Linked DNA regions of Drosophila melanogaster. The protein of the gene in region 1 interacts with the protein of each later gene in a pairwise test. Each region holds a gene or a part of one and is shown in the gene's direction. Other genes may lie near its edges. The genes, in order: CG4570, CG32086, PICK1 and CG12496.

Evidence for each region.
Region 2: the proteins of CG4570 (region 1) and CG32086 interact in a two-hybrid assay, tested with the Drosophila melanogaster proteins (one large-scale study listed by BioGRID).
Region 3: the proteins of CG4570 (region 1) and PICK1 interact in a two-hybrid assay, tested with the Drosophila melanogaster proteins (one large-scale study listed by BioGRID).
Region 4: the proteins of CG4570 (region 1) and CG12496 interact in a two-hybrid assay, tested with the Drosophila melanogaster proteins (one large-scale study listed by BioGRID).

The regions. Positions count from the first base shown.
Region 1 is NT_033777.3:10,853,526-10,860,149, forward strand, and holds CG4570 (uncharacterized protein), read left to right. Parts: upstream 1-3,281; 5' UTR 3,282-3,492; coding exon 3,493-4,320; 3' UTR 4,321-4,541; downstream 4,542-6,624. Other genes in the region: CG4565 (uncharacterized protein), read left to right, coding at 1-81; CG6567 (uncharacterized protein), read right to left, coding at 129-836; CG4511 (uncharacterized protein), read left to right, coding at 1,331-1,507, 1,769-2,242; CG14694 (uncharacterized protein), read right to left, coding at 4,695-4,956, 5,019-5,260, 5,315-5,640, 5,704-6,005, 6,070-6,278.
Region 2 is NT_037436.4:11,580,246-11,587,301, reverse strand, and holds CG32086 (uncharacterized protein), read left to right. Parts: upstream 1-3,237; 5' UTR 3,238-3,268; coding exon 3,269-3,792; intron 3,793-3,857; coding exon 3,858-4,034; intron 4,035-4,085; coding exon 4,086-4,860; 3' UTR 4,861-4,901; downstream 4,902-7,056. Other genes in the region: rt (rotated abdomen), read left to right, coding at 1-565, 797-1,359, 1,451-2,230, 2,290-3,011; CG33269 (uncharacterized protein), read left to right, coding at 5,186-5,452; CG43391 (uncharacterized protein), read left to right, coding at 6,316-6,438.
Region 3 is NT_033779.5:12,693,173-12,702,389, forward strand, and holds PICK1 (protein interacting with C kinase 1), read left to right. Parts: upstream 1-1,860; 5' UTR 1,861-1,943; coding exon 1,944-1,990; intron 1,991-2,132; coding exon 2,133-2,351; intron 2,352-2,663; exon of another isoform or gene 2,664-2,968; intron 2,969-3,019; exon of another isoform or gene 3,020-3,094; coding exon 3,095-3,206; intron 3,207-3,253; exon of another isoform or gene 3,254-3,298; coding exon of another isoform or gene 3,299-4,099; exon of another isoform or gene 4,100-4,151; intron 4,152-4,293; coding exon 4,294-5,649; 3' UTR 5,650-5,745; downstream 5,746-9,217. Other genes in the region: CG6153 (uncharacterized protein), read left to right, coding at 1-230, 294-484, 548-672; IFT43 (intraflagellar transport 43), read right to left, coding at 815-1,076, 1,132-1,254, 1,322-1,345, 1,402-1,643, 1,702-1,740; CG5781 (uncharacterized protein), read right to left, coding at 3,299-4,099; CG17036 (uncharacterized protein), read right to left, coding at 5,980-6,534, 6,599-7,342; CG5776 (uncharacterized protein), read right to left, coding at 8,718-9,217.
Region 4 is NC_004354.4:2,407,655-2,414,596, reverse strand, and holds CG12496 (uncharacterized protein), read left to right. Parts: upstream 1-3,695; 5' UTR 3,696-3,800; coding exon 3,801-4,862; 3' UTR 4,863-5,232; downstream 5,233-6,942.

The DNA.
Region 1 (6,624 bases):
AAGATGACAGGTGGAAAGACTTGCCTCTGTGGTGCTTCAAAATGCACGGGTTTCATGCCAAATACTGAAATAGAAGAATAAATAAATTACTATTAAAGTTTACCTAAGTATATGTAAGTACTTGCCACTCAGAGTTTGTTCTGTACTTGGTTTTCCAGCGGAGGTAGTTTTTCATAAATCCATTGCTGCAGATCCGTGATGGAGGCAGTTTTCAGTTCGTGCAGTGTGTTCCTCAATGGATGAAATGTGCCCTTGACACCCAGTTTCGTTAGGTTCTCGAAGGTTTCCAGACCCCAGTCCTTAGGTACCAGAGTATCGCGTTCCCCGTGATACATTCGCAGCTCGGGAAAAGATTCGTCTTTGCCGTTGGCCAGGGAATCATAGACAACGGAGCCGCGGTTCAGGAACGAGGAATGTGCGAATACGCCGGCCAAGCTGCGTCTCAAATGGTAGCCCGTGTGCAGAGCCAAGGCTCCGCCCATCGAGAATCCGCCCACAACGATCCTGTTCAGCGGTATGCCGCTGGCCACCTCCTCGTCGATCAGCTGATTGACCGCATCATAACACTGGGACATGCTCTTCTTGCTTTCCGATGCGGCAATGTTCACGGACTTGCGGTCAAACCACACGTTGGATAGTTCCCCGTCCAGCGGGGTGTACTTCTGTTTGGGAGCCGTGGGATATATTATCTTTATGTGCGGGTACTCCAGATTCCGGCCGATAAGGAAGCGCACCCATTCCAGAACATTGGGGCCGGTGTCGCCGGATCCGTGGAAGAATATCACGGAGGCTGTGTGTTTGCCAGTGGCATTGACCGTTGTCAAGGCTGGCTTCATCTTTAATTCACCTTTGATCAACTAAATATATTGCACTATCGGAATAACCATCAAAGGGCGGCAGTGTGGCCAGGGGTTCGTAAAGAAACAGCTGACGGGAAATAATACTGTCATGGTATTTTGAACATTAAGGAGCCTTTTGTATTTTCCAATGTAAAGTCAAACGGTCACACGAATCCATACGTCTAAATAAACTTTTAAGGAGTAAAATCAATGAAATAAGTGAAAATAAAAGGTGAGTACCGTCTAAATAATCGATTTGTGGGCGCCTCCATCGAAATGCGCTGCGCTTTCCCCAAAACATGCCTTACTTAACTGAATTTTCCACAAAACATGACGCATCTGCGGCTCCATGACTACGCCTTTCCATTTGTGCCGGATCCACACGCACACACGCGCAACCATTGACGCCAACACGAACACACCACACGCAGAGTGCAAATAACGGAGAAACATCAAGACACGCAGAGGAGCAGCAACTGGAAGAGGACAACATGGCCAACATCCTGGAGAACCAACTGTTCACGGCCGCCAAGACCATCGAGCAGCAGCTGGACCAGCAGCTCGACCGCCTGGACAACCTCGATTCGGATGACCTAAAGGTCCTGCGGGAGCAGCGGCTCCGCGAAATGAAGGACCTGAACAACAAGAAGCAGGAGTGGCTCAGAAACGTAGGTGATCATCTCTTACAACACTCAATTATTGAAGATACTTCGAGATTGTTCTCTAAGTGGTATATGACCAAATGGTATTCAACATGCGACTTTTAAGACATTCGCGACACTTGCTTCGATTAATTCAAATTAGTTTTCAAATTGGGCTACCAGCTTAAATAGCTCAAAACTTAAATATATATGTAAAAATTAACTTTCAAAGAAAACCTTGTTAGCGCAACAATCTCATTAATCCCCAAAATTGCTAATCTTTTCCAGGGTCATGGCACCTACACCGAGCTGGCCGACGAAAAAGAGTTCTTCGAGATGTCGAAAAAGTCGCCCAACATTGTTTGCCACTTTTACCGCGACAGCACCGAGCGCTGCAAGATCGTGGACATGCACCTGAAGATCCTCGCGGCCAAGCACGTGGAGGCCAAGTTTTGCAAGGTGAATGCCGAAAAGACTCCATTCCTCACCCAGCGACTGCGCATCAAGGTGATACCCACCATCGCCCTGGTGAAGGACAGCAAGACCAAGGACTTCATTGTCGGATTCACCGATCTGGGCAACTGCGACGACTTCGCCACCGAAATGCTGGAGTGGCGCATCGCCCACTCGGGGGCCATTGACTACAAGGGCGATCTGATGCAGCCACCAGATGTGAAACGCAAACCATTCATCAACCGCCCACAGAAGACAATACGTGGAGGCTACGACTCGGATGACTCCGATATAGATCTGGATGACTAACTACGGGCAGTCCATCCCACACTCTCGATTACCCAAGCTCCAGCTTTCGTTCCACACTCCCACACAAGATACACTCAAAAGCGATGGAGTAACAAAAACGGACACACACAAATCAAAACCTAGCACATGGATCTAAACCAATTAGGCGTACTCTAGCGTTATTTATTTAATTATACGATTCCGATCCCTCTGCTACGGTCCCATCGCCACCTAGTGTAAGTGGCTAATTCGGTTGCCTTCCCCCCCGATTATGTGCTTTAATATCTATCAGTTCAATCAGCTGCCTCGAAGGCTGCGCCACTCTAGCGAGCTTAAGCGAACTCAAAATTTGATCTTTATGGTATTTGCAATTCCAAATGAATGTGCACCCTTTGCGTATATATGTTAAGTTGAGCATAGTTTTACAAACTGCCCTCGCCCTCCAGAAAACGGTGTACGTAAAACAAGAAACTAACATACACAGAGCATAAAAGACAAGAAACTAAATATCTGGCATATATATATTTTTAAAATTTCGATAAAAGGTGTATTGCATTTCCTACAGTAGAGGTAACTAACACTTACATATGTACAAGTTTTTATATTTATTTTTGTAATTCTACAAAGCATCAAAGGAAATCAACGATTAAATAGCATGTTCAAAACAATTGCAAGCGCTTGGTAATTGGTTGTAAACTTAAATGGTTCCCACACAGGTTTTTTGCATTTCAGATCGTACTCTTGGTAATATTTTATTTAAATCATACACGGGAAAGGCAGCTTTTTATTAAAATATGACTTTTTAACAAAAAGACTAGAATTTCTTTAAGAACTTATTATTTTCATCATTTATCGATATTATTAAACCTTACTTGGAAAACACAGAACTGATCATCGGGTTAAATAGTTTTGAATGAAATAATCCTGAAATAATAGGTTTGAACAAACTACGCTGCAGTTAAAGTAATGGTATTTCCCCGAACAGCTGATCATGAGATTCCGAAAATCCTCCCTTAACACAAGGGTTGCCAGTCTTGCCGCAGACGAATAACGGAATGGCCGCCAAAGACAAAAAGGGACGCCAACTGAATTTACCTGTAATGACGCCGTAATCCCGCCAATTGCAGCTTGCTCGCCATAAAACTACGGTCCAGACTATCGTCAAAATCGGTGCAAAAACTTTTACCTGCCAGGTGCATAAAACGCCCATCGAGGATTCGATTTACCATCATTGGTATTGTGAAACTCGAGGTGTACAGAAGTGATTCGAAATGGTTCTCGCTCCCGAAGTTCGAAGTATTGTGAAGGCGCTGAAGGGCTCGAACAGCTGTGAGGAGATAGCCCAGATCCTGGAGTGCGACGTGGAGAGCGTGATAAGCTGCATTCGTGAGTGTGAGCTGCTCGAGGGGAAGACTGCCACGCTGAGGTTGCCGCAAAAACTGAAAACAGCGGCGCCCGTGGCGGTTGCGCAGGAGGAGGAAAAGAAGCGCGATGTTGGCAGACCCAAGGTCCTGGAGAACCGGCAAATTGTCGAGCAAATGCTGAGCGACAATCCGCACTACACCTCCATCGATGTGCAGCGGGAGTTGGCCCGACACGGCATAGAGGTCAGCCGCAGGACCTTGCAGCGCAGGATCAGCGAGATTCGCTCCAAAGGCATACGGCAACCGAGAGGATCGCCACAGCCGAAGGAGCCCAGCACTTTCGGCCTCAGTGAGGGGGCGAAAAAAAGGAGGTTGGCCTGGGCCACCGCCCATCAGGATTGGACCGTGCGCGACTGGCGCAACATCTTCAACATGGACGATCTTAAATTCGTCGACGAATCAACGCCGCCAAAGGAGATCTTCCTTGACTCGCTGATGGGACCGGAGGGCAGTGTCTGCAATGACCTCAATCTCCTCGAGCAATTGATGGCCATCATCCAGCCGAGGATTCAGAATCAGGCGCCCAAAAATGTCAGCGAGTTTCGAGCCGTCTTGTACGACGTCTGGCACAGCGACCAGGACATGGTGGACAAAATTGAGATGCTCTACGAGTCGATGACGTGGCGGGTCTCAGCGGTCCTCCGCAACGGCGGGGATCAGACCGAGTTCTGCTAGCCAAGCTGTGGATTCCAATCGCACCCTGATTCTTGAATGTTGTATTGAAAATAACGACGTTCATGATCTTGTTTAATTTGACATATTATTAAGTTTGTAGTGGCCATATAATGTACATGGTACACTCTGATTAGATTCGCGGCGTAGGATTAAATATCTTCATTTTTTGAAACTATAACTATAAAAAAACATATACATTTTAATAAAGTGTAAAACAATATAATATCAACGATGTTTCAACAGCTTGGGAAATATTTCTTAAAAGTAATAATGTTTCAGAATACAAGCCAATTATTATTTTATTAAACAAACTTTAAATATGTATAACAATTTTATTTGATAAATGAACACTTTTTCATCATTAGAGTATGTTGTTAATTCGCCTCCTGAATTGCTTTTGGTTTCTTCGAAATTGACCATATATATTGCAATATAACAGCAATAGAATAGACTATTCCAATAACTATAAAATAGAATGCGTAGACGGAAAACTGTTGAAAAACATTCAAATTCAGATTGGCCTTTTCCGAGACGACGACAAATGTGAGGATGCACTGCAGGAGGAGTCCCACGAACGTGTTGAAACCAAACACCAGAGCGAAGCTATCCTCCTCCAAGCTGCTGGCCAACTCCGAGCTATAAGGTATTACGAGATTTGGTAAATTTCACCTGTTGGAAAAGGATCAAGAACTGCTTACCTGGCCACTGTTATGGTGAAGGCAAACAGGCCTCCATACAGCACATAGCCAAGATAGGACAGATATATATCATCGGTCCAGCAGGAAAGCAAAACACAACCTCCTTCCAGGACCGACAGCAGAGCCATCGAGAGCAGGCTGCTCCTGGTGTTCAGACGTCCAGCATGGAAATAACCGGCGAGAAGGGCGAACACAGCGCTTAGAAGCGTCAGGGCCACGTCCACAGCTCCATTCCAGGCTATCTTCAGGGGAAATCTCAAGGATGAGAAAGCCATTGATTATTGAAACTCACTCACTGTTGGTTCGTTCTCGAAGGACTTCCATACCACCTGCATATAGGTGGTGATTTGCAGAAATCCAGCCAAACTGATGGCATACCACAAGCTCCATTGTATCACCAAGGGATTAGTGTAGGCACTACGGAAGTGGGACCAAAGGAGCTGCAACGCTGGTATCTTCTTTTCTTGGCTCGCTTCCTCGTTACTGGGTTGCTCTGAACCCTTCTCCAGGTTACCACCATCCGATTTGGTTCCACCTTCTATGGCCTCGCTTCGATTGTGAAAGTACAAACTCTTCTCCACCTTTGGCAAAAAGAATGCCCAGAGCAGCGCAGCAACTTGAGCTGTGGGAAAGTGGGAACATTGGTTAACTGGCTATTGAATCACTTTGCTAACTGGTAACCAACAGGTGACGGTGATGTAAAACAGTTGCTTGTAGTTCATCCACCTCATTCCAATGACCATCTGAGCCAGGATTCCCGCAACTAGCTTGCCCACGAACATGGCTGCCCTGGTGTGCGAGGTCACCCTGGGATAGTACTGTTTGTCCACCTTGGCGTAGATGTACGAGTAGTAGGCCACCTCGCCCGCCTGGTAGAAGCCATAGAAAACCTCCACCGCCTGCAGGCCGCTCAAAGTGGTCGTCCAAATCAGTGTGCCCCAGATGCAGATGCCTGTAGTGGCATTGGCGATGATCACGGGCTTGTATCTGCAACGCAAACGGAGGGTTATTGCTGGCCAATAAAGATTGCATTCATGCATGGGCTGTATACCTGAGCAGGTCCGTAATGAGGAAGACGAAGATTAGGAGCGCCAGGTAGGAGTATGTGCCCACCGGGTAAACGGATCGGTTGACCTCGTCCTGGGTGACGTGATACCACTCGCCCATCAGGATTTCCGCGTGGTATGGCTCCGAGGGTCGAAGTTCCCGGAGAAACCCGAATATGCATAGCAGGCACGATATCTTCAGCCACGACTCCATCCCGTTACGGCTGTCGGCTTGAATCTAATCGCGATCTTAACGCCAACCAGCGATCCCACCGACTATATGTACATACATATAGATATATGTCTGGCAGCGTGTAGCTTCGACCAGCTATTATAATAATTGCACATTCTTCCAAGGGGTTAGCAGGCTAGTGCCGAGTATAGAGATTTACCTTCGACGCTTGTAATCAGCGCTGGCCCATTCGCGATTTACGATCCAAGTGTTCTCCGATTTGGTGCAGGCCAGCGGAGCAGTGAGGTAATGGAATATCCGGGAAGTTTCCGCTTACAGCGAGCAGCATGGTCACGATCGCGATTAACTTGCTCTCGCCTGATGCGGT
Region 2 (7,056 bases), on another chromosome or scaffold:
AGCGCCGCAAGACGGCCAAAGTGAGGCAGCAACAACAACACCAATGGACAGGCAGCGATTTGAGCGGCGAGTCAAACGAAAGACTTCACTTTCGCAGCCGTTCAACAAACTCGATGCAACAACACACAGCAATCAGCAACTCACCTTCACCACTGTGCTGTAACGGCGCTCGTGCTTTAACAATGCTCAATTGCTGCGTCGACGTCAACTGTCATTTGAATGCGCCGCTCCGCGGCAGCGTTAACCGGCACACGACGCCAACGCCGACCCCGACTGCGACGCCAACGCCGGTAGCGACGCCAAAACAAGCCTCCCCCTCGCCTACCTCCGATCGTTCGCGCTCCCTCTCACGCTCGCCTTCGCCGTCTCGGTCTCGCTCGCTCTCCTGCCAAAAACAAATCGACAAGAACAGCGCTGGCGCAGCATCCGCAGAAGAGAGAAAAACCGCTAATGCGAGTTCGCAGCCATTTACCGTTAACCTGAGAATCGATCTCTTCAGTTGGACACTCTTTCTCTTGGCCTTCGGCACGCGTTTTTACAAGCTGGCAACGCCGCCGCACATCGTGTGAGTAGAAAAACAATAACAAACCTGCAAATGGGGTCACCGCTGAATGAAAAAAATACACACATAACAATGTCTTAGATTTTTTGTTTATTAATTTAATCTGCGAGAGCAGAGTCTTACATTTAAGTTCATTGCATTACATTTAAGTCTTGCATTTATAGCTCAAATGATTTATGCCTATGTCTTTATAATATTTTCAAGATTCATAGTAAAATACTTCCTACCCAACAGATTCGATGAACTCCACTACGGCAAGTACATTTCCATGTACATGCGAAACATTTTCTTCTTCGATCAACATCCACCGCTGGGCAAACAGCTGATCGCCGGACTGGTCAGCCTGGCTGGTTACGATGGCAATTACACCTTTACCCGCATTGGAGAGCCCTATTCCCCGGAAATGCCCATCTTCTGGTTCCGATTTCTACCAGCCATGTGCGGCAGTCTACTGGCCCCCGCCGTTTACAATCTTTTGCTGGAGGCGAAGCTCAGTCGCTGGTCATCCGCTTTGGGTGGCCTGCTTGTGGTCCTGGACAACTCATTGCTGACGCAATCCCGTTTTGTTCTGATGGAATCAATGCTTCTGCTGGCCACCACGGTGGGCATCGCCTGTTTGCTACGCTTCCAACGAAGTCGCCTGGGCAGCCTGGAATGGTTCTTTACTGGAACGGCAGCTGCCGTCTGTTTGGGAGCCGCCGGAACCGTCAAGTACGTCGGATTCTTGGCACTGGGGCTAGCCTTTTATTTGCTGTGTCGACACCTGTGGCAACTGCTCTACGACGCCGGTCTCACCGGTAAGATACCTTTTTTTCTGAGATTTACAAATACGATTTACGATATAATAATAGAGATTGAATAAATCAAAATAAAACCATTTTTTTCAAGATCGCCAGCTATGGATGCATGCCATAAGTCGCCTGTTAATCTTTGTTGGAATTCCATTGGCGGTCTACTTGGGAGTCTTCTATATCCACTTCAAGACGCTGCACCGGGCTGGACCGCATGATAGCATCATGACTAGCGCGTTTCAGGCCTCGTTAGATGGAGGATTGGCATCGATCACAAAAGGACAGCCATTGGCAGTGGTTCATGGATCCCAAATCACACTACGACACACCCACGGACGCACCTGTTGGCTGCACTCGCATGCAGCTGTCTATCCGGTGCGGTATCCGGACAAGAGAGGCTCCTCCCACCAGCAGCAGGTCACCTGCTACTCCTTCAAGGATGTGAACAACTGGTGGCTGGTTAAGCGACCAACAAAGGAGAACCTGGTGGTGGGTGATGAGCCGGATATCATTCGGCACGGTGAAATTATTCAGTTGGTCCATGGAATTACGAGCCGAGCTCTGAACTCACACGATGTGGCTGCGGCAATGACGCCGCAGTGCCAAGAAGTCAGCTGCTACATAGATTACGAGATCAAAATGGCCGGTGAACTGTTGTGGCGCGTGGAGATTCTGAATCGCGATTCCGAAGGTGACATTTGGCATGCCATCAAGTCGGAGGTCCGCCTCGTTCACGTGTCCACAGAAGCCTCCTTGAAGTTCAGTGGGCGCCAACTTCCCGAATGGGGTTTCAATCAGCACGAGGTGGTGGCGGATCGTGAAAAGGCAATACATGAGGATGCCATTTGGAATGTTGAGGAGCACCGCTATACACAGAGTAAGTCCTCTTCGAGATACTTGAAGAAATACGTTATCCTCATTTACAACCCTTTATAGCTGAGGATCATCGGGAGCGAGAGCGCCAGATGCTAACTGCCGAGATGATACCCACAAAGCGGACGCGCATCTCGTTCTGGGCCAAGCTACTGGAGCTACAATCCAAGATGCTGTTCCAAACGAAGTCAGTGCCAAATCACATGTACAGCTCGATGCCGCACGAGTGGCCGCTAATGGACAAGGGCATCGCTTATTGGTTGGACTCACAGTCGAGTGCGCAGATCTATTTGCTGGGAAACATACTACTCTGGTACACAGCCACCATGGGAATACTTGTCTATGCCGGATTACTCGCCTTCTACGCGATGCGGCGGCAACGTCTTTGCTTTGATATTTCGGAGCAAGAGTGGCAGCGATTCGTATTAGCTGGTGACACCTTTTTTATGGGCTACGTGATGCACTATATTCCGTATTTTTGTGTGGATCGTACACTCTTCCTGCACAATTACTTGCCAGCCTTTGTGTTTAAGTTACTTTTATTGTGCTTTGTCGTGGAGCATTTGGACTATCTGCTCAGGCGCTTCTGCACCGGACGTGGTGTCCATCTGGTGCGCCTTTATCGCCTCATGCTAATCCTGTGGCTGGTGGGCGTGCTTAGCATTTTCTCAAAGTTTATACCATTCAGTTATGGTGCGAGAAAAATGACTTTAAATGAGGTTCGCAGTCTTCGATGGAAGGATACCTGGGACTTTGTCCTGCACAAGAACCACCACCTGTACTGAAAAAACAGATGCCATCTCCGCGGCCAGAGAGAGACGTGCAATGATGTACTAGTACCATGTACAATAGACTAGACGACTAGCTAAAGTTGAACTAATACTAAGCCATAAATTATTTGACATGTAAACATACTCATTTACAAGACCAATAAATACAATTATTTATTTATTTAAGATGTTCTGCTTTATCACTCAGTAATATGTATAAGCACTCTGAAAACACTTGAACCCACACTATATACATAAATACACTCATAAACATGGCCAATAAGGGACACTTTATAGACAGAAATGCAAATATACCGACTGCAGGATTGTCCACCAGTGGATTAGATGGAGCGGAAGGTGTAAAAGTTTGTCTTAGTATTAGCAATCCAGAAGAATTGGCTGAGAGTCTAGTTAGGCGCAATTACGGGCAGATCAATAAAAAATCCCAGAAGTTCCCAGCCGGTTCCGTTCAACCCAGCAGCAGCATCCGGGATTTGCTCACCAGCGAGTTGCAAAAGTCGCGCTTTATGTCCTTCAAGGAGAAGTTCTACGAGGAAATGTACTTCAAAAAGGCCACTTTGGGTGGGGTCAAGAAAACGTACTCCAAACCGGAAGACGTGACCAATATAAGCCAAACCTTCGGAAGTCCATCGAGTCAATCACAAAATGAATGTCTCTACGACGTCATATTGCCGGCCAAGTCGGCGGAGCAAGTTAATAAGGAGTACGAGGCTTTCCACGACAAGTACATCATCAGCCACAATCACTACTTTCCTTCGGAGCAGGTTAACCGCAGGTCAAGCTATTGGTCACTACAAATGCAATGGTGCATATTTAATGAACGTCTTAAATATTTTTTAGATATGCCCAACCATTTGATCGAAAATCACCTTGTGGAGATATACATACTCACGGCGATTTTGGACTGAAAGTGAAGCGATGTCTGGAGGAAGGTGAGAACCACCTGAAGGTTATTGGCAAGGCGCAAGTGGACTTTATGGATCGAAACGAGGCACCCCTCGGAATGCGAAACAAAAAGTAAGTATAGATAGATATAGATTTTGATTAATAGTTTTAGACTGTCTGTAGGTACACTTTTGCGGTGCCCGACATAACTTTCGGTGTTCCTCTGCGCAGCAATGGCGATGTGAAGATGCTGCTAAATAATATTGAACCCTGCTACAAAACCAACCGGCTACTAGATGCCATACGCTATTTGAACAAAAAACGTCATAGTTTGAGGAACCAGCTGGAATTTCACAAGTACGCACTAAATTCAGTGCTGGAGAGGAGTGACACGGATGGAACGGGTCACTTGCCACTGGCACGCATCTTGGAAATTTTCAGAAGTTTTCACATCCGTCTGGATGCGCAAAAAATCCGTCTGGCCTTGTCCAATTTTCGGCTGATTGTGGACGAGGGCTGTGCCACGGAGCGGGTGAATTATGTAGATTTCTTTCGACTTCTCTCGATTCAGAATTCTCTGCCGAAAACGGGAAACTTGACCAATGTATCCGATGTTAGTTGTCTGGACACCACATATCGTTTGCTCTGCGCCGATCTTCAAAACAAGTCAAAGGATAATACGGGAGCAATTAGCCAGAATCTCGAAGGGAATAAAACAACTGCCAAGGATCTTATAACACCGGATTTGGCCATTTTACGTGGCCTTACTCACAGTGATTTCACCTGTTTGCGGCCCAAAGCGGAAATCGAACGTATCTTTAGAAGTCTCGTAACAACTGATAAATTCGAAGCTATTTGGCAGAGTCTAATGACTAAGTTCAAGGACCAAAATGAAATGGCATCCGTCACGCAGTTTCGTACTGAAATGCACAACAAAATAGAGGCCATATCTACATAATACTTAGACAATTTACCATGACAAACAAATATATAATAAACAAAAATAAACTATAGCATAAGTTTGGGCTGTCATTTGTGTGAAGCAAATATTTGCTACAGCATTAAACTTTCAAAGCTGGTGTCTTACGACCAAATATTTAAATTTCTGTGATCAGTTAGGAAATCAAATTAATACTAGTTTTCTAAATCCGGAAATTACTGGAGAACTATAAATGGGGTGACTTCAACATCAGTTGATCACAACAGCCCTTCGCCGCTTTTAAGCCAAGTCTAATATCAATTGCTTTGCCAGCTAACCAACATAACCAACAATAACATCAAAGATGAAATACCTGTTCGTGGTTGCCCTTATTGCCCTGGCCATCCAGGTGGCTTCATCTTCTAGTAATACAACAACAACTGATGCCACCACCACAACAACAACCACCACTGCAGCATCGACCACAACAACAACAACGGCCGCTTCCACTCACAAAAAGCTTTGTTGGAGGGGCAACAACTGGTGCCACACCCGCATTCCCAAGCGGAAGTGCAAGAACCCAAAGAGGTGCCACAAGACCATCGTGATTGTGACCCACAGGAAAAATTAAGCTGCACTAGTAGTTTTTGAAATAAAGAAATTCTTTTTAAAAGAATTTTGCCTAATATTTTCATTTTATCTATAAAATTATTTTAAGTAGTATTTGTACCCTTAACTCATAACGCATAGTAAATGGGTATGCAATGTGTGTTTAAAAGTAGGTAACACTTAAAAAGTTTTCGATCCTATTGTATTGTACACATATGCCTTATCAGAATATATAGCCGATTTAGTCTATCGGTCGCCAATTTTCTAAAGAAATAGTTTCATCGCCTTTAAATTGCAAAAAATTGCCTTTACATATATTTTCGGAATAAAAACATTCTACTTCATTTTCCACTAGACACTTGTGCAAGCTAAACTCTGAGTAATAGGTATCTGATAGTCGAGGAATTGGACTTCAGCTGTTTCTCTTATTTTATTATGAATTTAAAGAATAATAAATAAAAAGAATAATAAATAATCGTTTTAAATAGAAGCAACATCACAGAAGTTTCTATTTTTCCAGGCAATACTCAATTCTTAAAAGTCCATTAAATTATTTATTATCTAAACTGAATTTGAAACATTTTAATGCATCTGAATTACCACTTCTACTCACTTCATTTTTAGGTTACTTTAATGTGTAAAACAGCTGTTTTACTATAATTGGAACTTTAATAGATAAATAAATATTATACCAACTTAAGAGACTTCCTATCTTAATAAGGAAATCATTTTAAACTGACTACTAACCATATGTGCTTACAAGGTGCAAACAAGAAGAAAACTATTAAAAAATTAAAGTATAAAAGATTATGATTCCACATTGGTTAATCACAAAAGTTTCTACCTTCATTTGAGAAGCACCATAAAATTCCAGGATCATTTAAGATGAAGTTCCTCTACGTGTTCCTCGTTATCGCCTTGGCCATTCAATTGGCAGCTTCAGCTACGAATTCAACACATGCCCACAAGACTAAAGTTATTGTGACCCGAAGGAAAACAGCAAATTGAGCTGGACATGTTTACACCATCAAAATAAACATTTCAAAAAAATACATTCCTCCTTGTTTTAAAATTTTGGTCTAATTTTGGTTGGCTAATGTGAAATGGTATTTCACGATTTTGGAGCAGATGAATTTTATTTTAGTTCCTTCTATTTGGTTCATCATAATAAAAAAAAACATTTTCTAAAACGGCTGCTGTCAATATAAACTATATTCAATGTTTTTAACATATGACCAACGGTGCGAACACCTTAAGTTTAAAAGAAGTTCGTTTGACTTTAATACTTACATGTTATAACAACTATAAAGTAGGAAATAATATACGATTTTTATGAGACAGCTATTGGATTTTATACATAAAGAATATTTTGTATAGCACTCTACGTACTGTAGAAACTTATTTCGCTTAAGATAATACCTATTGTATTTCAAGAATAAATGTGAAATTAAGGGCTATGTTAAGATATTATATTATAAAAAAATAGTATTAAACTTTATTAAAATATTGAAAATCTAATATTAATATTAGCATGCTGATATATAGAAAATATAAATATTTAATAATATTAAAATATATCATATTCTCTAATTTTTATATTCTAATAATGATATTAGGACATAACTA
Region 3 (9,217 bases), on another chromosome or scaffold:
TTGTACACCAAAATCGATCTGGACAATGTGGAGTGCCTGAACGAGGAGACGGATGGCCAGGGAAAAAGTGTCTTTAAGCCGTACGAGAAGCGCCAGGATCTGTCCAAGTACGTGGAGAGCGATGCGGATGAAGAGCTCCTCTTCAACATTCCCTTCACCGGCAACATCAAGCTCAAGGGCATCATCATAAGTGGGGCCAATGATGACTCCCATCCAAACATGGTCAAAATGTAAGGAACAAAAGTCAAGGCTGCTTTAATATTACTATATTCATCATATATCTTATTTTTCAGCTTCAAGAACCGACCCAGGATGACCTTTGATGATGCCAGAGCAAAGCCCGACCAGGAGTTCCAGCTGACCCGCGATGCCCGCGGAGAAATCGAGTACTCACCCAAAGTGGTCACCTTCTCCTCCGTGCACCATCTCTCCCTCTACTTTCCCAGCAATTTTGGCGAAGACATAACACGCATTTACTATATAGGTAAGCTCACAACAATCTATGTTTTATCTGTGTTCCCAACTAAAACCAAGTCACTATTCAAAGGTCTTCGAGGAGAGTTCACAGAAGCTCATTACCATGGCGTAACCATATGCAACTACGAATCCCGTGCCAATGCAGCGGATCACAAGGAAAAGGCTTTCGATGGAGTCGGCAGAGCCATCCAATAGGGTTATAGAGATTAAAATTTACAATTTAATTGAGTATCTCTGTAGTGTATATATTTTGTGATCATTTAAGGCAAGAAATGTTTTTGTATTCGCTTAACTTATTGAGCATTTGTATTGCACAGATATTGTGGGCTAAATCATACTAAGTATATTGTGTGGGTGGAATCACATCGGGTCCTATTTTCATGCCCATATTGGGCACTTTATCCGAATGGATTTCAGCCGTGACCTCGGTGAACAGCTTGTCCCACTGCCAGAGATCGTCCTTCTCGTTGAGGCTCTCCTGTGGAACCAGGCAATCGGTGAGGATTGAGAGATCAAAGCCATCCACAGCTGAAAAGGCGTACTGGGAAAGCAAATCGGAATTGGCCTCCTTCAAAACAGCAGATCGTGAGGTGCCAATACTACAAATTACAACTTATTATCGTAGTGAAGAGAAATATAGCAGCTTCTGCTTACGTTGGCGGTTCTACAATCTCATTGAGCATGATTTCGTCCTTGACATCATCCATGTCTGGGATGACGGGAATGTCATCCGTTGGTATGGAATTTGTAGCCGACTTTGTTTGTTTAAAGCGCTCACTAAAATGAATTTTATCATTATAACAGTCGGTGGAAAGTGAAGTTATTGTGATAAACTTGTACTCACTCATCAAAGGAGTTTTTCTTGGACCTAAAAAGATATAGAGCAATCAGTAATGTGCCTAATTCGAGCCTAATCATACCCACTTTAATCCTTTGAGTCCAGAATCCGCCCAGCCACCTGAAATGCGACGAATGGGTGGTCGATGTGACTCGAATTCATTGTTGTATGTGGACGAGGTGGCCGTGTCCGAGGTGGTCGGTGGGGTGCCCGCCTGGACATTCAGCGTAATGTCGATGGAAATGTCCTTGGAGCCCCCAGCCGCCTGGACATCCTCCTCCTTCAGAACATCGCGACTCTTGGAGCGCCGACCCTTCCTGGCCGTCGTCTAGGGTGGCAAATAAATCGAAACTTCAATTTGCATCCATTTAAACAGGGTTACTTACCTTTCTTATGGTCATCTTGAGTTCTTCGGCCCAGTCCATCATCTTTTGTTTACGTTTATCCTCAGCGTTTCCAAGGCAACAAGTGGTCATGGTTACTCCGTGGGAATGTTCAAGTTTACTAATGGAGTTTGCCATTCGCAACGCGATGCGATAGTTTTCAAATCAGTTACCTATCGCCGATGACAGTTGGCGGAGCTTCAAGTGGCCAAAATAAACAAATATTTATTTTCTAATAACGCAAAATGCTGACGGACACGGAAGATGACTTCTTTTTCGAAGAGGATAAGATGTAAGTGGCCATTGAAAGCAATAAATTGCTGCAACACCTACGCCCAGCTCTATTTACGCACAACAATCTGTTGCGATGTGCCGAAAAGTGTCTGTTAAAAATCAATAATTGCCACCAAACTGAAACATATTGTTGGAATCAGGCCAGAACCGCTGCTCATCCAGTTGGATGGGGATGGTGCTCAGGCTGTCCGGCAGCCCAAGGAACGCACGGAGCAGCGAGAGCATGCCTCCGGTTCCGTCGCTCCCAACGAGGCCACCGTTATGCTCTGCTCCCCGGCGGGATTCTCCTGCGATTCCGCATCCGGGGACAGGTTCGGCATCGAGTCCGCCAGTAGGCAGAAGTATGAGTTAGACCGTCTGTAAGTCAACTCCGTTGACCCGGAATCGTTCCCATACTATTTCCTGTGGCAGCTCTGTTTTCTAAGTTCTGGTTTTTATAGTCTTTATCCTGTAGTTTCTACCAAATTAGCTTACTCTTGGTTTTTTATTGATTTTATTCTTTTAAATTCATAAATTGGTGTATTTATATTAATAGTAGCATATACACTTCTTTATTTAACTATTAAAAATTTAATTTTGATTCAGTTGCTGTTTTTTTTTTAATTATTTACTTTTTAAAGAGCGAACACAGTACTATATCCATTTTTTGTATAGTAAGAACTACAGAACTAGAACTAACAAGATTGTTGTTTATTTAGTTTATTAATTCCACCGAAAAAGGACAAATGTGAATTTCCTTTGTAGAGCCTTAGATGCTTATACTTAGGCTAGCTAGTATACAAACTATATTGAATTCGAGGTGTCCTTTGGCTTTCCAAGTCCCATCCTTCGAAAGCGTTAGTATCACGATGCCTTAGAATAAGCTGTCCCGATCAACAGTTTTCCCCATACAGCCCTAGCCAAACTTGATAATAATCCAATGGCCTTGCTAGAACTGGTAACATGGCTAATTAGAAAATCGCACCAATCGAAGTGAGTACGTATGGAAAACTGATATGGAATCACCAGCACATAACCATATATACTTCAAATCATGTAGCACGCGTAGATCACGCTTCAAACTATATTTCAATATCTTAACTTCTTACCAACCTTTATGCAGGGGCATGACTGTCAGCACGAATGCTGTCGTCATTACAAAGGATCAGAGCAACCTGATTGGCATCAGCATTGGGGGTGGAGCACCCATGTGTCCATGTCTGTATATCGTGCAGGTAAGTCTGAAAATCATGAACTCATAAACTCTCACAAAGATCTTTTTGCTGCCATATTCAGCTTGTTTCAAATTTAATTTACAATCTCATTTCTAGGCTGCCTGAGAATCTTTTCTAGCGGTGACCCTTGTTTGCTTCCAGGGATTCGGCGTAGCCTTGAAATTTGTCATTTTGCGTAGCTTAAAGTACTCGCTTCTTTCCCGTGCAAACCAATCGATGGTCTGCTGCTCCAAACGCCGATCCATCCGTATCCTTTTCCTCTCGTCATACACTTGGCGGCGCAGAGCACGCTCCGACGTATGGAGATGAAAAGGTTTTGGATGGGTAAAGGAGGACTTGACAAGCGGCGTAAAGGGCTGCCGGTTGAGGTAGTCCATAGAAGAGCCTGGATTGATTCGGGGCACAAAGTCGGATGTCTTTCGGCTCTGCCTTTGCTTCTTTAGGCGCTTGTTTAAAGCGACCATTGACGTGGCCAGCGTGGCAGGGCATCGGGGCTTCGTCACCGTTTGCAGAGAGTTCAGGTACAGCTTGCGCCTTTCCAAACGACGATGAGATCGCTCGAAATCGGGCACAGGTCTGCTCCGGAACTGAAACGCATTACTTTGCATGTTGGCCTCTCGTTTTAGCTTCTTGCGTTTCTCAGTGTAAACCTTCTGGAATTTGCATACCCTTGGTGTCTGTTTTCTGGTCGTCTTGAGCTTTTTGGGCTTTGCCTGGCTTTGGCCACCACCCGCCTGTGTACGCTTGCGCTGATGCTTTTGCACGTCCCGCTCCTGAAGCGCCGCCTGCAGCCTCTTATCCAACTGGTCGAATCCCGGAATCAACTTGGGTCTCGCATGGGACTCATTGCTTAAATCCTTTACGGACCAATTAAACCAGTTGGTGATGGTCATAATTTGGCTAACCAAATCGGTTTCAGTTGCGAAGGACTAATCTTAAACGATAATTTTGAAACTTAAAGTTATGAGTACTATTTGCTTGGTTTTATAAAAATGTTTACGTTTTGACACAAGTATGATTTACAAACTGTAAACAATAGCTTTCCAAAAAATGCAATGCTATAAATGTCACATCTTGTAAACTCTAGATCTTCGATGGAACACCCGCTGCTCGTGAGGGATCCCTGCAATCAGGAGATGAACTGTTGGCTGTGAATTCGGTGAGCGTGAAGGGCAAGACGAAAGTGGAGGTGGCCAAGATGATCCAGACGGCCACCGACGAGGTGGTTATCCATTACAACAAGCTGCACGCCGATCCCGAACAGGGCAAGACACTGGATATCATCCTCAAGAAGCTGAAGCATCGGATTGTGGACAATTTGTCGAGCAATACGGCGGATACGCTGGGTCTATCCCGCGCCATTCTGTGCAATGATTCGCTGGTCAAGCGACTGGAGGAGCTCGAGGGCACTGAACTGATGTACAAAGGACTCGTAGAGCATGCTCGCCGGATGCTCAAGGCCTACTACGATCTTCTGCAGACATATAAATCCTTTGGGGATTGCTTCACCCAAATATCGGTCCATGAACCGCAACAGCGGGCATCGGAGGCGTTTCGAACGTTTGGCGAGTTCCATCGCACCTTGGAGAAGGATGGCTTGGGCATCATCAAACAGATAAAGCCAGTGCTGGCCGATCTGGGAACGTATCTGAATAAAGCCATTCCGGACACAAAGCTCACGGTGCGTCGCTATGCGGATGCCAAGTTCACATATCTTTCGTACTGCTTGAAGGTCAAGGAGATGGACGATGAGGAACATGGCTTTGCTGCCCTGCAGGAGCCACTTTATCGCGTCGAAACGGGCAACTATGAGTACCGTTTGATACTGCGATGTCGCCAGGATGCACGCAGCAAGTTCGCCAAACTCCGCACCGATGTTCTCGAGAAGATGGAGCTGCTGGAATGCAAACATGCCATGGATCTGAACAAGCAGCTGCGAAGCCTGCTCGAAAGTTTGGCCGAACTTCATAGGAGTTTGGTGGATCGACTAGACTCGCTGCCACCGCTCTTTCCCATCGAAGTGGACTTCAAGGAGACGGACTTTCAGTACAAGTCGAGTACCCTGAAGCCGCAGGAGCTGGACGATGATGAAATCGAGGCCAACAATCATCCGCATTCCACTCCTTCGCAAGTCGATTGCGGTTTCGAGGCTGTCGAACAGCCGGCGGCAATTATAAATGTGGAAGCGGCCAAGGCGTCCGTTGATTCGTCCACCTTACAATCCGCCAGCGAGAACGAAACGTTGCTCAAGGAGCTGGGCCTGTACGATGTGGATCTGCTCTCCAATCCGCAGACCATTAGCAACCAAAAGGACTCCATTGCTGCCCAAAATGATGGCTACGATTTCGACTTGTTCTTGAACCAGGCGACTGCAGCCACCACCAGTTTGGAGCGCGATCTCATGTCCTCGAATGCGGAGGAGATGGACCTGCTACTGCAATAGGCTACTTAGTACAAATATTAAGTAATGTGTTAGATAAATATTAAATGTTTCAGTATTTGGTGTAGATATCAAAAAATATTAAAAGCCTTTCAATTTAATAGTAGCTTAGACTTTCATTTATGTTTTATTTCTGTAAAGTTTAACTTTATGGAAAGCAAATTCTTTGCTCAACAACTGATTTAACTTTTTACCTTTGTACTAGTTTGTTTAATTGATGGAATTTCTTATATACTATGTTGTTTGAATAAATAAGATAGTAAATAAGAAGTCCTGTATTTACAAACTTGCACATTTCGTCCTGTTTTGATTTGTGTAAAATCCTATATTATCTTATGTTAAAGAAACCACATTTTCCACACTCGACTTGTTAGTCCTGCAAAACAGTTTCACGCAGATAGACCCAATTATGGATATTCCACCCAAGACCACAAAGTAGCTACCGTAAACCACGTACTGATCCCGCGGCTCCAGAGCGAATCCAACTCGCTCCACAACCGCAACGGTCAGAATAGTCTGCAGGATCAGACCCACCAACGTATTGATACCGAAGATCAAGCCGAAACTGTCCTCCACCAGATTCTCGGCCACCACGGCACCCGCCACCGTGATGATGAAGAAGAATACGGTGCAGAAAAGCACATAGTTCACGTAGGCCACCCAGATCAACTGCGTCTTGGCGGCATAGATGAGCAGAGCGCCCAGGGCAGCGGCACAGATGGATATGCCCATCATATACGATCCCCGTCGCTTATTGGAGTTCAGCAGGCCCGCCAGAATGGCTCCAATAGCACCCAGCAGCGTGGCCACGGCCTCCACTCCGCCATTGTAAACACTGAGCTTATTCGGTGCCACCTCTTTCCACAGGAACTGGATGTAGGAGATCACCTAGAGGATTTAACATAATTAGTTTATTACACACTTAACTTCTTGCAATAAACGGCCAACTTACTTGAACTTGACCACAGGTGGCCAATGCCCACCATATGCTCCACTGCAGCACGACGGGATTGGAGTAGGAACTAACGAGGTGGTACCACAGCAGGCGGCATGCGTTGGCAAAGGAGAACTTTGGTGAGGTCTCTTCTCCGTCGGCAATGGTAATCTTCTCGGAACCCGCGTAGAAGTAGAGGCTACGCGGCACACTGGGCAGGAACAGGGACACGGCCAGGGAGATTAGCTGCGTGGCCAGCGAGAGGTAGTGCAGCTGCCGGTAATCCATGCTATCGGTGGACACCAAAATCTGGGCAAACAGGCCGCCGAGGAACTTGCCGCTCAAGATGGCAGCTCGCGTGTGGCCCGTGACTACCTGATACTGCTCCTTGTTGACCTTGGCGTACATGTACGTGTAGTAGGCCACCTCAGCGGCCGTAAAGGTGCCAAAAAACACTTGGGCCACCTGCAGCATTCCCACGGTTTCCGTCCAGATAAGCATGGAGAACAGGGTAATGCCAGCCAGTGCCGATAGCACGATAACCGGTTTGTACCTCACCAGATCTGTGATGAGGAACACAATTACCAGCTGGGCCAGCACCGAGTACGTGCCGAAGGGATACACATCCTGATAGATTTGATCCGTCGTCAGGTTGCCATAATCCGAGGCTAGGTACTCTGTGACGTACGGCTCCGAAGGTCGAAACTCCCGGAAAAAGCCAAACGTGCACAGCAGCAGCGAGATCTTCAGCCAGCTCTTCATGTCGTAAATTGCGATACCAGGTGGGCTGTTCGCATGGAGACTCGAAACTCCAAGCTCCAATCCGGCGCCAGTTGTTTCGCCAATTGATAAGTGTCGTAACCAACGCGACGAACGCCAGCCGGCAACTGATCGCGCGAATCAAGAGCGCCTGGTAGCCCATCGCTCTCCGCCAAAGCGGCTACAGTGGTGGCCAGCAGTATTCACCCACAACAACCGGAAAACCAGAATCAGGTGAATTTTAAGGGGTTCAAAAAAAATCATAAGAAAACAGCAACATTCAATATGACAGGCATATAAAATTATTTCCAACGATTACTACAACTATACAATCAACTATATTATCACAAAAAAATATATATTTAATATACTTAAAAAATAAACTATCAACAAATAGTATTATTTTTAGAAGAAAAACGCTATATAAAATATATTTTACATTCAATATTTCAAAAGTTGTTGGAAAAGATATGCACATATGAACTTATATCCAAAGCACTGCAAATTCGTAAAACAATTAATTTAAGCTACTGTTGGGCCATAAAATTCGTATATTGTTTAATATATTTACACACATACATACAAATGTTTAAATCATGCGCCCAAGTTCAATGACCGTTAACTGTTAATGCTAGGGCCACTAAAAAACATAACTTAATATTGATTTTGGTGTTATTCACAAAATTGAACACTTCATATATTTATGGCCGCTACTGTACGAGTATGACCTCAAAAGACCGTGAAATATACATTTATCTACATTCAATTAATTTGGAGAATTTCTATAATTACAACTTGACAAATTTATAGATTTGGTTACAGATCACGGAGCAGTGAAAGTTGTAAATTTTAAATAAGTTTTATTTCGGTAATTGTCGAGTAAGCAAATTTATCGCACAGCAACAAAAATTAAGATTCTTGGATTGTTCCCCATCAATTTATTGACAATTAAGTGACGCATTAATTGGAAATTTGTTGAAAGCTCAACGTTTGCTCTTGATATTCACAATCGAGAGAATGATACTCTTTGAATTTAGAGGTTAAAAATAGAGCATTCAAGTTATCACCGATAGTTCTGCTATAGCCATCTTATCTTTGTAGTCTAATCTGCAGGCACTAAATATGAATTTCAGAACTGTCTAAACACCAAAGTCGACCCTCTAATCGGTTCTACTTTACATAACTTACATAACTACATACATAACTCCGATTTGAAGGCTGATCGAGTGAACAGATTTTGGAGAGCTAATAACATGGTAATTTGTTTAAACAAATTAAGCAGATTTGCTTTCGGTAATCTTATCGTCACTGTTTTGCGGATTCTTCACAATTAATCTTAAAATAGTTCTAAAGTCAAGGTTCCCCTGAGTTGTTTAATCTACTTCCGTTTGAGGTAATCTTCGTAGAGTTTCAACAACTCTGGAGAAGTCCGCGGAGGCACCGCCTTCAAGGCGTGCTCGAAGTCCGTCCACTTGACATCCTCCGCTTCGAAGCTTTGCTCCAGGGCTCTCAGGGCAGCCTCATGGCATACGGCTTGTATTTCTGCACCGGAATATCCCTCCGTCAGCTGCACCAACTTCTCCATGTCCACATCGTTTGATATCGGCATGGCACGCAGTTTGATCTTTAAGATCTCTCTACGTGCTTCACATTGCGGTAGTCCCACGTAGAGAATTCGATCAATTCGGCCTGGACGAAGCAGTGCCTTGTCGATCATATCTGGACGATTGGTGGCAGCGACTATGGTGACATTTTGCAGTGCCTCCACGCCATCCAGTTCGGTGAGCAGTTGCGTGAGGACGCGCTCTTTTACGGACGAACCAGAGCTGGATCCGTCGCCCTCCGAACGCTCGCCACCGATGGCGTCGATTTCGTCGA
Region 4 (6,942 bases), on another chromosome or scaffold:
CACTTTCTTTTGCTCGAGAGTGCAGAAACTGTCGCACATAAATTTTAATTAACTTTGTTTTTAATTGTTGCAAATTTATGTTCGAGGGCTGGGAGACCTACTTCTTGGGTTTGCTCCTGCGAGTCCTTGCTGATTTTTGCTGTGGGCAAATGACAATCGAACAAACCGAAAAGGGATCGGCAGTCGGATCCTTTTTTTCGGATCCCTGCAATATGTGCTCTAAATTATTTGCAATAATTTCAGCCCCGGCCTCTGATTTTTTGCCCACTTCGCATCCTTTCCCTGGCGTTCCTTTGTTGCAATTTACTTTCTGCTCCTTGGATGCAGCAGACATCTCCCGTTGCGTATCTGTATCTGTATCTGTGTATCAGGATCTCCGTCCGTGCTCGCGCTTGTATTTTTATATGTATCTGTATCTGTATCTGTATCTGCTCTTCATTATGGCATCCATTGTCTTGCGCTGTCTGCCTCAGACGCATCCTTTGGGTGTCCTTTCGTGTGTTCCAGTTTGCGCTGCCTCTTCTTTATTTTTTCAGGGTCACAATTCGAGTCTCAGTCGTCGTCCTTAGGAGAGCATCCCCCACCCCAAATGGCCAGGATCCGTTTGCGAAACTGTCTCGTATTTGACAGTTGACAGTTGGTCGACTTTTGAGTTGGAAAGTTATGAGCATAAACATGATATTTGCCAGGGGCCCGTGTTGCTATTGCCATTTGGCAATTTATCCTTTATATAGTGCCAGTCATTTTTAGTCCCCTGCCGCCAGCGAAAATGCCAGCGTAAAAGTTATGAAATCAATTAATCATTTCAGCTCATTTATGATTTAATGGCTTCACTTTTTTGTGGTTTCCGCTTAGAGTCGTAAAGCATGAAATCCCCACAACCTTTTCGCAGCGCGTTAATGAAGTCGCAAACTGGCACTTTCCTACTTTCCTACATTCCTACCGCCCAATGCATCGCATGGCAATATGCGAACTTTCCCCTTTCGCAAACACTTTCCCTCCATTATGCAAAACGCAAACAAAGCCGCGCGACAAGCATTTGATACACTTTGGGCACTTTGAATGCCATTTCAGGCGGCGCGCAGCAAATCAAATATCGATAAATTTCGCAAACAATACAAACACGGGCGCATTAATCAAATGCGGCAACAATAAAGCAGCCCTATCTGTTGGATCCAGCCAAAGTGGCCGATCTGCATGTAAGCACATATGCAAAGGCGTTCGAAGGGGAGGGTAATAGCGATCGAGCCTGCCAGAGACGTTCGAGTAGCTAATTCACACATTCAAGGGGTAAGTAAGCCTTGTCGCTCGCACTTAGCACTTGGAATGCACACACAATTGTCCAAGTAAACACGACTAACTTACAACATATGAGCTTAAAACATATATCGCAATCAATGGGCTGTTAACGTCAAGTCCTAATCTTAGGAGGTGCTACCTAGTTACTCTTCACATCTTAATGGTAAACGGGGTGAGCACGCATCTCTAGCGGATTCGCGAGTTCGCATTCGAGCATGCAAATCCCTCTGGAACCGCGGCGCAGGACCTCAGGAGCGCAGGACCTCGGGACGACGGCTGAGTGAGAGTGAAAGTCAAGTGGCTCTTGGCGACGCGCTCTCGCTCGAGCACGCGTGCAGGGGAAAGGGACGGGAGATGCAGCCCGGGCGGAGCGGTAAAAAATGCATGGGCAATTTGCATACAGCGATCGGGACTGGATCGTGACTTCGGGCTGTCCTTGAGGCAGGGTCCTTGGGCTCGTTAATTAAGCGTAAAATCGTCGCACACGAAATGCCGAAAATTCAAATTGAATTTGAGAGGTTTTCGTGTGGTTCTTTATCCATTTGTGTTTCGTTGTGTCCCAAAAAAACCGCAGAAAATGCGAGGATTATGGTAATTTTGTGTGGAAATTGCCGGTGAAGACTAGCCGGGATACGCCTTGTTAGGCAGGATGCTCGTTAAATCATATTAATCAACATGCCGGAATCCTTTCTTAGCGCTGGAAACTCTCTCAAAAACCCATTTAATCCTTTTGTGCGGCTGTGTAAACAGCAATAACTCAGCGCCACAAAGAGAATCGAAGGACTCGGGGACATAACGAGGGCAAATCGAAGGGAAAAGAGGTAAAAAGTAAGCAAAAGCAGGAGCGCATTTCGCAAAGTAAACGTTGAAAAAGAGTTGAAAAGTTGAGAAATTCGCCATTTCAGTGGATGGAACGGGGTAATCGATTAACTACCCCAGCACCCTTTTTGTGTCCCTATCCAGGATGAAAGCCGATCGGAAGATAGTCACATGAAAACATATGAAACAAAACGACTTTCACCACAAAAAAGCCGAAAAGGATAACGTGCGAAATATACGATCCCCGTTAGCGAAAATCTTTCAGCAATCGATCGCAAATAAAGATATCTCCAGGGGACCAGAACCCATTCAAAGATGCCTTTACATGCTGAACTAGATCAGAACGTCAGATAGCAAGCCACGTCGGTCACGGACACTTTGAGTGATCCAAGTCCAGGAGATGACGAGCGCCGATCACTTGAACGTCACTTAGGATCGCTGGTCGATGATCACTTGAAGATCACTCAGGGATCTCGATGATCACTTCATCTACAGCTGGTCAAGAGCCACATATGGGGGCAGTTATCTTTGATCTTGTCATCGGAAATATAATCTACTTATTGGTTCCATATTTCATATTCATATGGAGGACAGCGGCTGTGCTTTAAAATATAGATCACTACAAAGGTTATGGGAACCATTTCCTTTTACATTTACATTTCAAAGTTAAATCCATACAAGTTGTGAATTTGCATTGCATGAGGCCCATCTATTTGTAGAAAGAACACTTATTAAAAAGTTGATAATTTGATAATGCATACTGTGTACAAACTTTTCCCCTGTTGGGTGAGCAACTGACGCTTTGCACAGGACTTTTCCCAGAGTTTGTAACGTTTTTCTAATGCTTCCTTCCGGAAGTGGCAAACATTTTCAATTAAAGCCGCCGAGTATATAAATTGCATTTGCGGCCGCTAAAGAGCCGCAATTAATACTGATACCGCGCTACGACAAGTGGCTAAAATGACGAGGAGCTGTCGGCCAGGAAGTTGGACTTGGCATCGGCTAATTAGCCGGCCAACCTGACTTCCCTTCTCCCTTTTCCGTTCACTATTTTCCAGCCTGTTGCTGCTCTAAATGTCCATTCAAATGAGGGGGAGACAAGGGCGAAAGGAAGCAGACTTCCTTGAGGGGAATGAAAGCAAATTTAATAACCAAGCGCTGGCCGATAGACATCTAGATGTCATTTTCGTGTGGTGGTGCTGTGGATGAGTGCCTGGATTGGAGTGGGTGATTCTCGGCCGGTACTGCGAACTGTGGGAAAGGACGAATACCTCCAATACCTCCATCAAAATATCAGATCTCGTTGGCATAGAGATCATACTTTCATATTCTAAGCTAAGCTGCTGATATCCTCGAGCTTGTTGCTCAAGTTCCTCGAGATCCAAAGACAATTTGCTACCACACACATCCGTTGGCCAAAGAGAGTCTTTTCATCCAAGGAGAGAACGCCGGAGAGAGCGAGTGTCCTTCTGCCCGCCGGGGTGCCTCTTGCGCAACAACCCCTAGCCCCGTAACCCCTAGCCATTAACCCCTGAGCGCCGAGCGGGTATAAAACGCAGCCCGCTCCCCGTACCGCTTCAGTTTGTCAGCGAGAGCGGTCGAGAGCAGAAGACTAGCAGAGTCTAGAAGTACATCTTTTTTTTTTGTGCACCAGGAGCAGCAGAAACAGAACCACACACAACATGCTGAAGTGGACGGCATCGGCGCAGCGCCTGAACGAGATTCCCGTGCACGATCAGGATGCCAACCAGCCGCAGAGGAGGAGGCTGCAGAGGAGGCAGCGCCGTCAGCGGAGGGCCACCATTGCCAACAAGGAGAACGTGCCTGACACCGTGGGCTACACCTCCACGCCAGTGCCCATTACCCGGCTGCGCAACAGTCCCCTGGTCCTGGCGCCGCTGAGCGATATCCGGAATGTCACCCCGGAGGCGGTGGTGCGCAGTCAGGCGCCCCAAAGGGTACAGAGTGTGCGATACGCCACCACATTGCCACGTTTTGCCGAGGACTACTCGCCCAACGGACTGCCCAGTGGTCAGCACTTGGCGCTGAGGGGCCTGGCTCCGTTGGATCCCTTTCTGGGCCAGCCGCGCTATATTGTAGGCTCGGGTGCAGGAGTTAACAAACTCAAGCAGCGTAGACTGGACGAGGACTTTGTGGCCACCTTGGAGCCGGAGTTGCAGGAGACGGCAGTGCCAGAGCCACCCACCCCCAAGGTGGAAGTGCGTCCAAGCACACCGCAGCCCGCCTCCACGCAGATGGGTGATCAGACCTTGGATCGCCTAATCGATGCCATCTTGGATTCCGCCTGCAAGGCGAACGCCAGCAGCAAGAAGAAGCCGAGAAGGTCCACCTTCAATCTGCGCAGACGCACCTTGGTCAAGCAGCAAATGGAGTCGAACTGCCCCCAGGAGGTGCTGTCGCCATCCTACGCACCTGGAGACGATCCGGCCTCGGATCTGAGCTTTGGCCTGGTTCCCCTGCCCATGCACAACCTGATGCCCACTCCGGAACCGGCATCGCCCCTGGCCAAGATTCCTCACAACTTGCTTGTCCAACTGGCCACTCCAGTGGCCCCCAAGTCTGCCCCCTGCGACAACACCTTCTGCCTGGAGACTCCAGTCAAGGCCCTGAAGAGGACCCGCAAGGAGATCGTCGCCAAGGAGTCCCCCATTAAGCGCTACAAGGTCGACGAGCGCAATTACTTCGAGGTGGGATTGGCCCTGCCCTCGTCTATATATGTCTGAGCAGAGGTAATTTCAAACAGATCCTCGGAAAGCCACAAAAATGAGAAGAGAAACTAAATGCGAGATGGAGATGAAGATGGAGACGAGAAAGCGAGCAACGCTGACAAACGGGGGGAAAACGCTTAACTATGACGCTTAACTAGTTCCTAAGTCGTAAACTAATCATCTTTCAATTACTGTACATAATTTCTTAGGCCACCTTAATCACTATTTATTCCAATTACTAATATAACCATTTTTTTTTTTGCTGCTGTTATGTAGTTTTCGAATATACCTTTTTTTTCATTATTTAATTTTAAACAAATATGAATATTTATTGCTACTTTAAGTTACCCAAATAATTATTTTTTCAAAATAAAAGCATTAAATCAAAAACAATGGAGTACACTTTTCTTTTCTTTTGAAACGGGGAAAACTTTATATATCAGCTTATCATCATTAATGTCGCTTTTTTGAGTAACTTTGGCTACTTCCATGCGTACTGCCCAATATAGGGATATGGGATTGTATTGATTTCAAAATGGTGATATTTGAAAAAGACTAGACTATCTTCATAGTCTAGAAATGTTTTCTCATGTATCCATTGGAATCTACTCTTTAAATGTTAGGTTTATAGTTGGTTTCTGAACTATTTTCGAGATACGAACAAATATCATTTTTGTTGTGCCATAGCATCGCATCGAGTTTTCTGATGAATGCGAAACATCTGCGGTGACCTTCGTCACCTACGCAATATCCCAGCTCGTGCCGATTGCATTTTGACCTGCCGATACGTACAACATATATTTACACAGTTGCTTGACCAAGCGATTTGCTTTGCTTTTCCAGGCGACCAAAACAAACAACGGCGATGCAGGTTGGGAACTGGGAATAATTGAATGCCTGACAGGTACAATGGCACGCCCCGGGATCTACAATCAAGAAGAAAAGAAGAAGTCAGAGGCAGCCAACAGCTGGTCCACTCCTTGTTTCCGAGGACTCAGGACTCTGCGTCCGCTGTGCTGCTCAATTGGCTATTTTCCCATCGAACTATATGACGATATGTTATTAAATATTCATTGTGACCGCTTTTAAAGAGAACACATTTTGCGGACACTCGCTTATCATAATTTAAATCCATTTCAAAATCATATTTTACAGCAAATGAACTTTTTAAAGTCATCGAAACGAAATCAACCCCCGATTTTCGCTTTTGTCTGCGAGCTTTAGAGCTTAGAGTAATCCAACCAGAAACCGTTTTGCACATATTAGTATCCTATTAAAAAAAAATCGTAGGCACCCTTGCAGATGTCCATGTTTCGAAATCAAATTATGGAAACTGCAGTGTTCTGCTAGATCATCCGTGAAAAATCTAGCTATGTTTCCATGCTCCGACTTTTGGCACACACGTCATCTCTAATCCTTCGGCACATGACACTTGTTGGCACGTTGACGCCCTCGCACACACTTTTTGGCACTGTAACTCGATTTGAGTGCGGTATGGATAGTATCCTTTACCTATACTCATAACCATGCCAGTACCTGTCGCTGTTCCGCAGGAGCCCTACTGTAAAATCCCAAATAAGAAGACTTTACTCGTTGAGTTTTTGTAAGAAACTGATTTTATTTGGAAATATCTTTGGTTTAAATAGGTGACATGAGAATCGCATCTTAAAGTAAATGGCCTACGCAGAGGCCTAAGTAAATAGTCCCCGCCTTATCGAGGTCCCACGCTCGGGCACATCTGCCTATCTTGAGCGGCGAGGACCTTATCTGTGGTCTCCCACTAAGGGACTATTTTAGGAGGCGGGGAACGATCTCAAGTGACTGACTCATGTAGTGTGCACTTAAATTACATGTTTTTGAGCAATGCACCCATGTCGCCTTAGATAACAAAATCCTAAATATAATTTATCGCTCTCGATTCATTTACATAAGATATGAACGGAGCCCAAAATTGTAAGTCTTTAAATATATTCGTGTTCATGTGTGAACATTCTGCCAAAGGGCCAGCAAGCTGAGATGTACATTAGTATATTAGTTGCATTTATAACAGTAGTGGACTGTATTTATTTGATATATGTTCATTTATTTTGCAACT